Linked DNA regions of Nothobranchius furzeri. The protein of the gene in region 3 purifies or fractionates together with the protein of the main gene of each other region. This does not show direct contact. Links are inferred from orthologs where the notes say so. Each region holds a gene or a part of one and is shown on either strand. Other genes may lie near its edges. The genes, in order: park7, sod1, prdx5 and prdx1.

Region 1 (3,060 bases), on a different chromosome or scaffold from region 3:
AGACTGCAGCGAACTTTACGCTCGACACTCTGCGAGCTAATCTCGGCTAAACTAGCCCTGTTGCGGAAACACTCCCCCACTAATGACAACGCACATATGCAGATTGGTGCGGTGCGACGAACCATGTGGTTTGTTTATTTGACCGTGACTACCGCCGCGTTAACAATAACTGGCAGCAGGTTTATCTAATAACTAATGCGGGAAAGAGGTGCGGGTACTAAGCCACGCATTCACGTCTGTGAGTAAAAGAGAAACCCCAACAGTCCTACCTTTCTACAAAATCCCTTCTCTTGGTCTTTCTTCTTGTCTGTGATGAGGACCGTCTGGATTTTCGGACACACCACGCGCTGATTACCAAACACCGCCCACTGGCTAACACGACACGTAATTGGTCAATTACAACTCAACTGCAGACGAGCCGAAGCTCTTCATTGGTCATAAAAGCTGCCAATCTTTCTGGACTCGTCTTCCCGCGTTCCTGCTGTTCAGCAGCCTATATTTAGGTGAAATAAAAACAATGACCTGCAACTTCAGATTGCTTTATTTTCAGGTGGCACAACAGTAGCGGTCAAAACAATCAAGTAATTCGTGAAAATAGTTGTTTTATTTCAGATTTTCCTTTAGTACCCATCTTACTGTAATAAGGTGCATTTGACATTTTAAAACAAAACATGTTAGAAAAGAAATCCTCATGTCTAGTTAAGAAAATGTTTCACTTTCATGTCCAGTGGCAGAAGACCTGACTCGGGTATTGTGGGTTTTTTGTTAATCAGGCAGTGCTTTTAGCACAGTTGTAAATAAATTAGTCTTTCATAATAAGAGGAGCTTTGACTTGAGCTGCAAAGTCACCCCCCAAAACTTCTTCCACAATGGCCAGGGCAAACTCAAAGCTGGTTCCTGGCCCACGGCTGGTGATGTAATGTCCATCCTTCTGCACTCGAGCCTCTGAATATTTATAGTGGTCTAAAAAAAGACAAAGAGCAATACCATAAGGATGATGGAGATCCAAAAGCTAGCAGCAACGCATTTCAGATCTAATAAGTCCTCCAAACACATCCGCACAAAGATAACTAGTCAACATTTAAATAGACCTGGTTCTTACACGTTCTGTCAAAATCCTGCACCCACTCTCACCTCAGAGCGGCGGGCGGTGCTCTCCAACTGCTGCTGACATGATTCTCCGAAGGCAACTAAAAGCTATTACAGCACCATCTGCTGCTTTTCACCAACACTTACAAACTCTCCCACTGATAGCTGTAATAGTTTATTTAAAAGATGCTCTAATATTTATTGATTTTTACCTCCAGCCATCATCTTCTCCTTCATGGCAGGATGTGTGGTTACTGTGCGGCCGTAGCCGACGCCATGGGCCAGGAGAGCAGTAGGGCCTGAAGAAGTGCGAAGCAGATTAAGGTTTCTTTTATAACCTCCTGTTAGATAACACACATTTTCTTTTCATAGTGAAAAAGACAAAAGGCTGCTAACTGGAAGTATCTCCTCCTTAAGCTCAGCACAGAGAAAAACAGATGTATGAAATTCCACCGAATGTTGCATATTTAGATTATGGATTTCAGTAAATAATAAATGAATGAGACACATAGAAAATATCTGATAACACTTGTGTCCTAAAAGTGTCCTCAACCCTATTGTTGGTTCTAATAATAAACTCACAAAGTGTACAGTTTCAGGTTTTTGCTAAAGCATCTGCAACACGTTAGAGAAAAGAAATAAGGAGAGGCAGAGGACGCAGACGATTGCTGCTGAATTAACTTTGGTGACGTCTCCGCACTGCTCGTCCAAAACCTGTTAATAAATAGAAAGTTATTGATCACACTCCTTTGGCTGCCTTCCAGTGCAGTCTCAAGATTACACTTTCCTCTGGCAGAACAACAGACTGCCATTCAAAGCTAAACGACTCCTGTTACGAGTCTCCACCCAGTTAGGGACACGAAAGAGTCAGACGGTGGAGAAAAAACAAGACGAATACCACGTTTTTACTATTTGAACACTGAGGAACAAGATTGCAGTTCTGAGGAATCTAGTTGAAAACGTGCCAGGTTAAGATGTCGGAACAATGAGTCTTGCAGCGAGCACGCTTGCCGTTTCCATTTAAGAGAATATTCCTGTGAGGTTTTCACTCGTTTCTAGGACACCTTTCAATCTGCTTTGCTGCACTGGTTCCCTGACCCCATTTCAACTGTATTTCATGTGTCCTTTCTCTGCTTATGAAAGCTGTCAAATACAGAGGGTGCGGGTTTACTCAGGGACACAATCAAGTACACAACCTTTCACGCAGAATGACAAGGAGGGTTCAACCTAAAAAGTGTTGCAAGAAGAGAGTGAAGTATTTTTCAATATTAAATTCTCAGGTGACAAAGAGTTATGGTTTGAATGCCTTGCGACTATTCTGCTGCCTCCGTTCACTCCTTTCTTGGGTAAAAATGCCACATTAATGTTTTATTTCCACAAATAACACAAGCCCAAACATGTTGTGTACTTGCTAATAGTTAGCGTCAACAAGCCGAGACACACTCCGCTTTTTTTTGCTGCAAGATCAATACAGCCTTCCAGTCGGCAGCCATAAGGGATGAATTAATGAATGCAAATTTCCAAAATGACGTAAATCTGTGTGGCTTTTTCTGGTCCGAGTATTCCCCCATCTATTTTTATTTCTGCGGCTAATTCAGAATGAACATAATGGGAAATTTTTCTTCAAATTACTAATACGGGAAGCAGGCAAGAAAAAGGGTTAGAAACAGTGGAGTTGCTCAGGTTAATGGGAGACATACAGGTATGCTGATGGTCTGTTATGGTGACTCGCTAGTGGCCCCATCAGCTTACTGTCAGAGGAACATCTTCTGTCTCCATTTGCTAATATTTCTGAACTGAAAATCATTGTTTCACGCTCAAGTCTTTTGTTGTCTCTATATCAGAAAGTAAGGCTGCACCACATTGCGATATTAACTACCGAGTTACAGCGTGACAGCACAGCCACAAAGTTTTTTGTCAAGTTTAGCTCCCCAGCCCCAGTGTGTGTGTGAGGGAGAAAGTGAGTGGAAT
Region 2 (3,677 bases), about 9.9 Mb from region 3:
TCTGTAATTTGGCAAATTTTTTGCATAATTAGCCAATTTTGTCAGAAATATTACTGAATAAATTTTTTGAACATTGCTAAACAAAAGTATTTGCTTTGGTAGGACTTTGGATAGCTTAATATCTAAACTAAATTAGGACTCCTGCTCTGAGCTTTGAGGAATAATCCATCAAAATCTAATTTAACCCTTTGATGAATGAATTATGAAATCTTCAACCATGATTTTTTAAACATTGTTTCATCTTTAGGTGTGAATGAAACAAATTTCAGCAAATAGTAATATTGTTAATTTACAAATAATTTATTACATGTCCAACTCAGTGGACAGCGTGCATTCTGAACATAAAATATGTTGGCTTGGCTTACTGAAGTCCAAATGAGGGGCTCAATGCAATAAAATCTACAACAGCTGTGCTTAATAGCAAAAAATAAATAATTTTGAATATCTGTCCACTGTAGTGACCATTATGCAGCAAAGGGTTAAAAAAAACACAAGACTATTTACATCATTTGAGGCATTTATGTTTTTTAATAACACATCTGGAAGTTTGTGCGCTACAAAGTCTTGAGTCCTAGTCAGTGGACATAAACCTACTCAAACAATTTAATTAGAAAGGAAACTGGGCAGAAAACAGGTTAACAGAACGCCACAAAGTACCGAACTGGACCGTTTCATTAAGTAGCCGTGTTGGTCTCTTGGGGAATATAGCTTATCCAGTGCTTTTACATTGCAGATTTACTGGGCGATGCCAATAACGCCACAGGCTAGACGAGCTCCAGCATTTCCAGTCTTCAGGCTTTCTTCGTTTCCTCCTTTTCCTAGATCGTCACGCTTCTCGTGGATCTAAAAATAAGTAGTTTTACATAAGCTACATTTTTATTGGGGACAAATTTAGACTAAAATCCTTAAAAAAAATAAAATTAAACAAAAAGGGAGGATCACAAGCCCAGATGAAGACGTACCACCATGGTTCGACCAATGATTGAGAGAGGTCCTGAGAGTTTGATGACGCTGTCTGTGATGTTTATCTTGGCAACATTCCCTTCAGCAGTCACATTCCCCAGGTCTCCAACATGTCTGATAAAAAAAAAAATTGTATCAGATTATAATATATTACAGTCAAACTTTATAAAAACAAAAGCATATCAAATACAAATAAGTGAATAGGTAAAAGTGATCCAGCTTCTCATGAGGGACTCGCCTTTCTTCATCTGCAGGACCGCCGTGATTCTTGTCAAAAGGATTGAAGTGAGGCCCCGCGCTAATGCAACCTGGTAATAAGTAAAGGTAAATATTACAACTCTGGGAAGCTTTTATGACAGCAAGCAAGTGCACCTAGATAGGAAATGTTAACAGTTAACTGAAAATTTGGGGGGAAATGTGGAAAAACATGCAATTTCTCACCATTTGTGTTATCCCCATATACATGGACGTGGAAACCATGTTCACCATCAGCAAGGCCACTGATTTCCCCAGTCACTTTAACAGGGGCCGATTCATTCTAGGGGACACAGGCGGTCATGATAATGTAAGTAAATATTATCACGCACGTATAACAGAAAAAAGTCAAAGAACTTTGCAGGCAGGAATAAAAATACTACAGAAAAGTTTAGATACGTCATGGTCAGACGGTAGAGAGTGACTCAGCAGAATTTTAGGGAGGAAATCGTGTTTGTTTTGACTTTAATGGCTGCCTCTGTGCAGCGATGTCTCCGAGCTGCTTTGTGATGACAAAAGAAGAAGAAGCTGCTAAAAACAGGAATTATGAGTGACTGTGGTGAGAGATCCCTCCTGGGGTCACTGAAGTCAACATTACCGTTGGTGAGACGACTGAAAATTACGCAACAAGCGTGTCCACTGTTAATTATTACCATTCTGCAGACTATAAAAGGTTAAAGGTTATATTTTAACTAAACATTTTTCCATTTCAACCACGACAGCCACGTCGTGCCAGCACGAGTAGAAATGTTTGAATTCAAAGTGTTATCTAGAACTTGCTGCACGCGCACCTAACATTTCTACGGTTCGTTGAGCAACTAGTTATCTAATTGCATATGAATTGTTTTATAAACTAAGAAAATCAGAGCAGATGTATCAAATATTCCACTATCTGAAAGTCTGAGGTGTAAATATGTCGCTAACTGCCAAGTTAGTCAAGAGCTCCTCTAAAAATGGATGACATACTTATGTTAGCTAGCTTAGCACAAGACAACTACGGCATCCGTATAGTGTTTAATTAAGTTGAATTTTATGTCCTCTTCGCGGACTACAACCTCGTTCACTTCGTGCATACTGTGACATCTTACCTCTTGCTCAAAGTGAACGGTCCCGGCTGTTTTGTCAGCTCCCTTCAACACACACACAGCTTTCACCACCATCTTTGCAGCAACTCACGAGTAACTATCGCGTCACGTGCCCCCTCGAGAGTCACATAAGAACGTCTCAAGTGGGCGGGTTAATTCAGTGATAGCCAATGAGAAAACGCGTGGTTTAATTGGCTGGCAGGAAGCACGCATATATGTCGATGATCAACACATTTGTCTGCGTTCATGTTTTGGCAGTTTCGTTCTTTAAATGTTATTTATTAATAAGCTTAGTTTATAGTTGATTAAATCTCGTATGATTGTAAAACATACAAAATAATTATAAATATTGAAATTACTCTTTTTTAGTGACTGCGATAGATAGATAGTTAGATAGATAGATAGATAGATAGATAGATAGATAGATAGATGGATAGATGGATAGATAGATATAGATAGATAATACCTTTATTAGTCCTACACTTGAGAAATTTCATCGTTGCAGCATCGACAGTACAGTCAGAAAAGCAGGTAAGATTAAAAAAAACATAATTTTATTTAAAAAAAAAACAGTAATATTAAAAAAAACTAACAAGAGAAAACCACAATCTTCCTCATTCAACAGCCAGCTGCAATGGCCTCATAAAATCTAAAGCCCCATTCCCACCTGTACCGGGTCGGCCCGGGCCGGGTAGCATAGGTTGTTTACATATCTGGGTGGCCTGGAATTTTCCCGGGCCAACCAAGGCTCATTCTCGGCCCTCTTCCCGAGGGGTACTGCTTCAGGCCGACCAGGGCCAACACACCCACTGCTGACAGCAAATTCACACCTTCCATTAGAGCAAGCCTCTGATTGGTGGGTAGAATCAACCCATTCACACCTTCCATTAGAGCAAGCCTCTGATTGGTGGGTAGAATCAGCCCACATGGGCTTAAGGCAAGGATGTGTGGAATCAACCGGGCCAGGCTGGGGCCGACTGGGGCTACCCGGCCCGGGCCGACCCGGTACAGGTGGGAATGGGGCTTAACCGCTGCTGGGAGAAATGGTCTTCTGAACCTTTCCCTCAGCGGTGTGGATGCAGCAACCTGCTAGTGAAAGAGCTATTCAGTGCTGCCAGAGTCCAGTGCATGGGGTGGGAGATGTTATCCATCAGAGAAGATAGCTTGGCCACCATTCTCCGCTCAGTCACCACCTCCACTGGGTCCAGAGGGGCTCCAAGAACGGAACTGGCCCTCTGGACTAAGCGAGTCTTGATTAATTTGTACCGTATTTTTAAAGTTATTTGAATTTTTTACACTACTTATGCAGAAAAATAACTGACTTGTATTCTTTTCTCAGAATTTAGTTTGGGTAAAACTCAACAATGCAAATCA
Region 3 (4,316 bases):
TGTGCGTATTTGTCACCTGCCCTCATTCTCTGGTATGCAACAGTTGAAGGCAAGCTTTATTGGTGCAACTTTCACTACAACTCAAGGTCAGTAATTTTGGTTTAATAAGCTCAGCATAAGCCTACAGCAGAGTTAGAATGTTGGAGGAGAGACTACAGGTCAGTCCAGTGCCATCCGGCTCCACGTTGATCTTCTTCACAACCCCATCTTCCACCAGCATTGCATATCTGAAAAACAAAGAGCACACTGGATTTGGAATACAATTTATGACATTTAAAATATCTGCAAATAGGTGGCTTCAAAATAATAAACACAGGACACTCTGTCCTCAAGCTGTTATGCAAATACTGATGTTATCACTGAACTCTGCACCATGAAAAAAGCTAAGTAGCAGAGGTGCAAATACTCCTGGTTAATATCCGACACCACACTCTTGTTCAAGTGATTTGTGAAAACCTTTAGCTGAAAAATAAAGCTCCAAACTCATGTTACAGTCTTTTCTTACCTCTTGGAACGCTTGTTACCCAGTACCTGCACAATCTGATCACTGTCAAGAACAAGGTCGACTGCCTAGTGAGCAGAAACAAAAGTGCTGATGAGAACAGAGTCACGAGGCTTGATGCTAACCTGACAAACACATGATCTTTTCATTTTTACTTTTGTAAATGCTCCAGTGGGATCAGCCAGCATTCGAACCTGTACATAAAAGCAATCAAAATTTTTCTAAATCTGTTATATAAATGTGAATTTTAAATTACTTTAAAAATACAAGTCTTATCAACATGTAGATTTTTCTGCAATAGATGCTAAATGTAAATTTGCAGCTTATACCTTGCCGTCTGTTCCGTGCTCTTTTCCCCATGCAGCCATGACAAATGCATCATTGACAGAAATGCATGCTATCTCCTGGATCCCTTTACCTCTTAAGTCCTCAGCTTGCTGCACAAAACCTGGGAGGTGAGTCTGAAAAGCAACACATGAAATACAAAGTCAGCTGATGCAAAACTCACCGTAGAGGTTGGGACATGCAGCGTTTTTAGTGTTGCTTCACCTTAGAGCAGCCAGGAGTAAAAGCTCCCGGCACGGCAAAAAGAATCCCCTTTTTCCCCTTAAAGAGTTGATCCATTGCCACTTTATTCCCAGGCTCACCCTCCTGGACCTCCAGCGCAGGAAGAGATTCACCAACCTGAAGATGAATGAGATGAAGTTACTTATTTTCCTAATGTCACAGTGAATGAAATTCTGGAAATAACTTGATGAAACTTTTTTGTTTATGAAAAACTTTGAATTAATAGTTAAAAAAAAATAGAAGGAACATGTACAGGTGCAAATCCCTTTTTTGCAACACTGAACTGAAACATCAAATGTTTGCAGAAACCAATAGCAAAAAACAGAATCAGAGATAAAAAATTTCAATAACAGAATGTAAGAAGAAATGTATTTTTATAAGATAAATTAACCAGAAAGAGAACATAATAACAACTGTGTGTAAACTAGTTCTGGACAATTATTCGATAACGATATATATCGATCAATAGACGTGTGATTCAACAGAAAAAAATTGAAAAAGTTTGTTTTTTCCATTATAGCCTATCGGGTAGCTTCATACTAGTTATTCCTTGCACCCAACTGATCAAAAGCACAGACCCAAGCACACTTCATCACCAAGCCCTCCCCTTACAAACCTAATCAGACAGCAATGTGAGGAGATGTTGCAGCAAGGAGAGGTGGAAGAAATTGTCCCAAAAAAGATTACAATAGTTCACCAGTGTGGCAATATTTTCATTCTTACAAGTCTGACAAAAAAACAAACAACAGTGGTTTGCAAAATGTGCAGAGAATCAATAAAAACCAAGTCTGATAACGCAACCAACTTGTTTTATTGTTAAGTGATTACATAAAATGGTCAGGGCTGCACTTAAATATATTTTCTACATTTCTCATATAGTTTTCAATAATTATTGATATCGATCAATAATATTTTTTATCGATACACCTTTTTTTTCTGTATCGTCCAGCTCTAGTGTAAACTGAAATTTAGATAAAGCAAAAAAAATGAGCGTTTCTGTAAAATGGCCACTAGATGGCAAAAATCACCATAAATGAAAATTTGCATAAAATAACATGAACGCCTGTTTTACAAACTTTTCAATAAATAATTCAAATTTCACCGTGAAGAGATGTTACCATTACGGATTAACATTACAATTTCTCCTTTACACACTTAGTCCGAACACTTTCAGGGAGTAAAATTGCAACATGCGCAGCAATAATTTAGAACAATGTTATAAAAGAGTGATGGCACAGATCTTATCAAATGTAAAGTCAACTCAGTGATATAGGTGAAAGAGGTGTGCTCAAATCACGACGAGCTGCTACTATGATTTAATCAAACAATAAACTAAATTCATGCAAACTGCTGTCATGGCGGCTCATTAGCATAGACTGCTACAGATACAAACATAATGAAGATAAACCGTTGCCGAATGCTCGAAGGACAAACCAACTAGCTAACGTTAGCTTATTTTTTTTTACCTGAATCGGCATTTTGGTGACTGGAGAGAAGTGCAGCAGCCGGATACTATATGTTTTTTAGAAGAGAGTTTGTGATGAAGAGCATAACCTGCTGGAATGTGGAGCTAAGCTAGTCCCTGGTGTTTAGCGACGTCTGACTCACTCGCTATCTCTTGAGACACAGCAGCGACGTCCTACTTTGAGCTAGAACGGAAGGACTTAAATTTATCCTGCAAACTGATGGCTAAGTCTTTATTTACTGTGCCATCTGCTAAGCAGGAAACCCAAGGTCTGGCTGGACTGGTTTAGCTAAAGGGGGCATAAAACGGAACAATTGTTGATTTAAGACAACATACACTTGCAAGGGCTTTTGCAGACTTCTGTAAGAAACGCAAGGGAAACTACGGAAGCCCTTTACCAACACGGTCACGTGGTATCTGATAAGCAAAGTCAATTATTATGATTTTAAGTCATGTGTATCACTAAACTCACTCTTACGCGATAAAATGTATGTGTTTGATTATTATTATTGTTATCAGACGTGCACAGATTTGGGTTTGGTACAGCTCCGATAAGTAAATACCTATTTTGACCAACTCTGATTAATGTTAAAGGACTATATCAAAGCAATTCTATTGTAAATGGAATATTTGTATGGTTGTAAACAATCATAGTTTTGAGTTTGAAAATCCTAGTTATAATTTTTTATCTCAAAAATCGGGTTTACAACTACACCACAGGCTTTGTATCTAATCATTTTTTAATATTTCTAAATTAATATTTATTATTCATTAATTTTTATTAGAAATTATGACTATTGTAATAAATATAACATAGAAGTTTATGGTCAGGAAAGTAATAAATTTATATGAACTAAATGTGAATGTTTTACAACTTATTTTCAAATTCATAATTGTTACTTTTTATGCAATACTTATGACTATTTTCAGAATAACCTCCTCATTGATTTTGAAAGTAATCATTTTGTCTAATAATTATGACAGCCATAATGCATCTTGTAATAATTATTAGTGCATCTCATAATAGTGTTGAATCACAAATGTGATTTTGATGCTTATAGTAATGACTCAGTGATTTTATTTAAAATCATGAATAAAAAATAATTGACCGTGTCTTTTTGAAGTGGCAGAAAGAGGGCTTCACAGAAACTTGCGGGATAGATAAAATAAGCTCCAAGTCAAATGATCTGTTGTAAGTTTACAAAAGTCATTTTTTCCCACTGTTGAGTTAAAACTTGTTTGATCTGAGAAAATAGTTATTTTCTGTTCCATTCAGTTTCTTTTACAGACATGGTACTGGACCATTATTCACACAAGTGTGATCTCTAATTGGACTACACCCGTTATGTTTCCCTCAGAAATGTCTGTCTTTTTTACTTCCAACTTTTCAGATTTCAGTTTCTTTTATAAAATAGCAGTTACATTTTAGTAACTATGGAACTTTTTAGCTTCTTGACACAAACTAAACATTTTACACATTTGTTTCAAATTCAAAGCAACGTCCAGAGGTGATATGTGGTCATGACCGTATTCAAATGTAAAAATACAACACAAACACATAAATGTACACGTATTGATGAGCCCACTGACATGTGGCGGTGTGTCCATTTATTACACAGCACAAAGCACCTACAGGATCCACTCCCTGTTCCACCAGACAGCGGAAGATTTCACTTTTTTCACAGTGAATTTAATGTGAACAAGTTTAGACAAGGACATCAAATGGCTTCATCTAAATGAAAAAAAAAGCCTACACAGAAATTTACAGCCAGGATCACACAC
Region 4 (4,028 bases), on a different chromosome or scaffold from region 3:
ATTAGCTGTGCGTTCTCCTGTCCTCTGTCCTCCGGGCCACACACACACACACACACGGAGCTGACTGTCTCAGCTGTTATTTTCGTTAAGGAGTGTGCACGTACAGCATGCACGCCTTGTGCACGAGCCTTCTATTGAAGCTGCCATTACGCTTTTGGCCTGAGGGGGCAATCGTGAGCATAAAAATTCAAAACTCCGTAAAGTCCCTTTAAACAGAAGAGTGAGAAAAAAATTCACCCCCCTCAGAGTTGTCATGAGTGTAAACTAGATCATTTAAACCAAAAACATGTTCTGGTACCAGGCTGTAAACATGTTTATTTCTGCTGTGAAATTGGTATTTTTAACATGGGAGTCAATGAGGAATTGCTCGCTTCTGACACCAGCCCCTAGTGGATGAGGGTGGAACTGCATTTTTTGGTACTTCTGGGTTGGACTCAATTTTTGAGCCGCATTGTGGGGGCTTGGTACCAAGAAGGTTCCTGGGGGCACCAGGTTGGTGATTCTGTTCTAGATGATAGATAGACACCACCAGCAGCTTAAAACGTAGCTGGTAGTGTTAAAACTGGTCTATTCATTTCTCCAACTGGTAATATCACCTCAGTCAATGTAGCACTTTCACTTACGCCATCGATCAGCTGTTTTTATCTGTGTCCTAAGGTGTTTCAACAGTGTGACACTTCCTCTTTTCAAAAAACTGCTCCACCGAAAAGACTGATGTTCCCTGTTTCAGTAAATAAACGAGAGGAAAGAGGAAATGAGAAACGAACAGACTATGTTCTTGAGAAAATGGTTTCACCGAAGTATCATGTAGTTATTGTCTAATGATGGCCTAAATCTACAAAGATAAAAAATATATTTCCCTAAAGTGAAATTTCTCAGTCATCGCGGCAGAGGGCTCACAGAGAAACGCATATATTACACGAGTCACTCATGACCCACTGGTCTCTGACAGTGGCATGGATGTTTTATTCATTGATGATTCTGGATATAATCTGTTCGGTCATATGAAGGAAAAGAGCAGCAAGGAGGAACATAACCAAAACCAGTTCTCTTCAATTGTAATAAAATCAGTTTCCTTAAACGTGGAGTCTGAAATAAAACTCATTCTTCCTCCACGTGTCTGGTTTGGAGTTTCACAAGAGCATTTACAGAATAGCGATAAGGAAAATGCAAAGTCATTCTACGTTGTGTGGACCTGAGGAGGATGGATGGAGAAGTGATCCGAGCTAGAGTTCTCGTTCTCCCTCTCATCTCGCGAGACGTTGGCGGTGGTATAAAAGTCTGCGTCGAGCCTCTCGGGTCGTGTACTACTCGTTGTCCGTGGAGGCTTTGGTTTCTTATCTCAGGTATGTGCCATAAAACGTTCGGTTTTAGGAGTTTGTCTTTCTTATAGATTAGTTTTTAGAATGTAAGGCGTTAAATTAGTGTCTGAAGTGACATTTTGGTTCAACAAGTGGTTTTTTTCCCCCTTGTCTAATTCTCAAATCTCCTGCTACTCGTTTGGAAAACTCAAGTGTTCACGTTTAAAGGCAGCTTCTCTAGGCTAAAGGCAAAGTTAACGTAAATCTGTGGCTTTCACCGCCATAGTCGTACGTTCCAGCACCGTAATGAACACCTTGTTCGTGACTAAAAGGTGAATACGGAAACACCTGAAGTGGAAGTGCTGCTGGTAACCTGGCCTGACCTCATGCTTTTACATCATATAGGTTATGGAAGTATTTACTTTAATCCCTTTTGAATCCACAGCATAAGATCTAAAAAGTTGGAAGAATCATTAATTAAATTTAAAAGCGACGCCTCCAGTGTTTATGGCTTATGTTTACAGGACAGAAAGATTATTTATGAGCGAATTTTCAAAAGATTTATTGGTTCTATTTTAGCAGTCAATAGTTAAACAGAAAAAAATTATCATGTGAATGTGTGTGTGAATGGGTGAATGACTGATTGTGTTGTAAAGCGCCTTGGGGGGTAGAAATGCCATTAACACTGGAGGCGTCTCAAGATAAAAATCACGAGGCGCTTCACAAGAACAAAAATTGTAAAAATATAAAAAAGCATTTAGAAAATGTTTAAAATATATTTAAAATGAGCAAAAATAGGCAATTGTGATTAAAAAATGTTAAGAGAGAGAGTGAACAGGAAAGAGGGAAACCAGTGGATCCTGAGGAAGGTGGAATAGGTGGGGAGAGCAGAATAAAGAGAGAGTGGTGAAGAAGGTCATACAAAAGCCAGCTTGAACAAGTGAGTCTTCAGCTGCTTTTTAAAGGAGACCACTGAGTCCACTGATCTCAGGCTCAGGGGGAGAGAGGTCCAGAGTCTGGGGGCCACAGCAGCAGATGATCTGTCACCTTTGACCTTTAGCCTGGTGCTGCACAACCAGTAGGCTTTGATCACTGGACCTCAGGGACCTGCTGGGGGTGTAGGGACTAAGAAGATCACCAATGTAAGATGGTGCTTGTCCATGTAAGGCCCTGTAGACCAGAACCAGGATCTTGAAATGAACCCTGAAGTTGACTGGCAGCCAGTGAAGCTGGAGGAGAAGCGGGGGGATGTGGGTGTGTTTGGAGGACTTGGTCAGAAGCCGAGCACAGGCGTTCTGAACCACCTGTAGACGGTTCAGGGAGGTTCGTGGAAGGCGCTATATCAAATACAGGCCATTTACCATTTGAGTAAAATAATGACCTGGTTTTGTGGGTTGGCTCAGATCCCAGACCTGTCAGTGCAACTCTGATTCCAAGTAGGGATGAGCGAGTACACCACTATCTGTATCTGTACTCGGAATGGGCGTGGCATAACCCGGAAGTGGGTGTGGTTTACATCAATATATTATTTTAAGTTTGAAATTGATATGGAATGATCAGAAGTTGCTATGTGTATTGTTTATTTGAAAACTATTTACAGAGCAGCCTCAGACTAGAGATTAAATATTTTTGATCACAATAGTAAAGGAACTATTACAAAACAAGTGTTTCAATAAAATCAGAACATTAATATTTAAGTGCATGGATTAATACATCTGAACTCATGCAGCAGGAACTAGGAAATATGAAATGCTAGAACCAGACACAACTTTATGTATATTTTTAATTTAATTTGATTAAACTGATTTTTTTCTTAATGTTCTTGGCATTTTCCCACACAAAGTTAAACAAAACAATGTTGATTAAGGTGTGTGTGTCTGAGAGAGATTGAGAGGGAGAGAGATGGAGGGAGTTAAAAATTTTTTAAAAAAACCCGTAGTGAGTGACTGATGCAGCACGTCAGCTCTGTCTTGTCAAATGCACCATGGAAGTTACGAAAAAAGTAACTTTAAATATTCAACCGAAAAAGAGGCGAGCTGAAGAAAACCTAGGGAAAACTGAAGAAACGTGAGCAACAGTGAAGCAAGCACAGCGAGATCCGTTACTGTCTGTGTGTGTGTGTGTGTGGATGAGCCGGACGGACTGTGCTCCCGGCCGGCTAGAGAGTTGTGTGTAGGGAGGGGCGGGCGCTCTATGTGACAGGCCAATCAGAGTGTGAAGACAGTCAGTTACCCAATGAGGATTTTCCTTCAGCACGATTACAGATATTTACGAGGTTTACTCGTCTCATGCTCGTATTCGTCAAAAATGCTTTATCCGTACCGGATACTCGTCTGAAACTAGTATCCGGCTCATCCCTAATTCCAAGTTAACCAAATATACTTATCAGAATATAATTTCTGCCTAATCTGAAAACGTTTCACATGGAAGATCTGTTGCTGCTAGATTAGAGCTTTGCTTGGATAATTGATGGCTTTCATCAAACAGCCCATCTCCGTCATCATTCTGATCATCATTTAAGGTGTCTGCTCATCTGTTTAGTGTTTTTGTAACATTACACAACTAGATCGGTGGTTTACATGTGATACAGTTGTCTACAAATGGTTCAGTACCAGCTCTAAGTCTGATGGAGCCTTTGTTTTGTAAACGCAGCCGTTTCCTTCTGGTGTAATCCCGTCTGACTGAAGATGGCTGCAGGTAATGCCAAAATTGGACAGCTGGCTCCAG

Evidence for each region.
Region 1: the proteins of prdx5 (region 3) and park7 fractionate together in Homo sapiens (co-fractionation; 3 studies listed by BioGRID). This does not show direct contact. The link is inferred for Nothobranchius furzeri from reciprocal best matches to the Homo sapiens genes PRDX5 and PARK7.
Region 2: the proteins of prdx5 (region 3) and sod1 fractionate together in Homo sapiens (co-fractionation; 3 studies listed by BioGRID and IntAct, with this or other methods). This does not show direct contact. The link is inferred for Nothobranchius furzeri from reciprocal best matches to the Homo sapiens genes PRDX5 and SOD1.
Region 4: the proteins of prdx5 (region 3) and prdx1 fractionate together in Homo sapiens (co-fractionation; 3 studies listed by BioGRID). This does not show direct contact. The link is inferred for Nothobranchius furzeri from reciprocal best matches to the Homo sapiens genes PRDX5 and PRDX1.

Annotation. Positions count from the first base shown.
Region 1 is NC_091743.1:63,722,303-63,725,362, forward strand, and holds the end of park7 (Parkinson disease protein 7 homolog), read right to left. Parts: intron 1,389-3,060; coding exon 1,302-1,388; intron 964-1,301; coding exon 803-963; 3' UTR 524-802; downstream 1-523. UniProt on the Homo sapiens protein: Multifunctional protein with controversial molecular function which plays an important role in cell protection against oxidative stress and cell death acting as oxidative stress sensor and redox-sensitive chaperone and protease.
Region 2 is NC_091750.1:63,537,621-63,541,297, reverse strand, and holds sod1 (superoxide dismutase [Cu-Zn]), read right to left. Parts: upstream 2,458-3,677; 5' UTR 2,379-2,457; coding exon 2,307-2,378; intron 1,502-2,306; coding exon 1,405-1,501; intron 1,272-1,404; coding exon 1,202-1,271; intron 1,078-1,201; coding exon 963-1,077; intron 844-962; coding exon 736-843; 3' UTR 506-735; downstream 1-505. UniProt on the Homo sapiens protein: Destroys radicals which are normally produced within the cells and which are toxic to biological systems.
Region 3 is NC_091750.1:53,604,186-53,608,501, forward strand, and holds the start of prdx5 (peroxiredoxin-5, mitochondrial), read right to left. Parts: upstream 2,854-4,316; 5' UTR 2,548-2,853; coding exon 2,536-2,547; intron 1,187-2,535; coding exon 1,052-1,186; intron 964-1,051; coding exon 832-963; intron 697-831; coding exon 658-696; intron 571-657; coding exon 506-570; intron 228-505; coding exon 122-227; 3' UTR 1-121. UniProt on the Homo sapiens protein: Thiol-specific peroxidase that catalyzes the reduction of hydrogen peroxide and organic hydroperoxides to water and alcohols, respectively.
Region 4 is NC_091751.1:68,306,424-68,310,451, reverse strand, and holds the start of prdx1 (peroxiredoxin-1), read left to right. Parts: upstream 1-1,199; 5' UTR 1,200-1,346; intron 1,347-3,915; exon of another isoform or gene 3,916-3,953; 5' UTR 3,954-3,988; coding exon 3,989-4,028. UniProt on the Homo sapiens protein: Thiol-specific peroxidase that catalyzes the reduction of hydrogen peroxide and organic hydroperoxides to water and alcohols, respectively.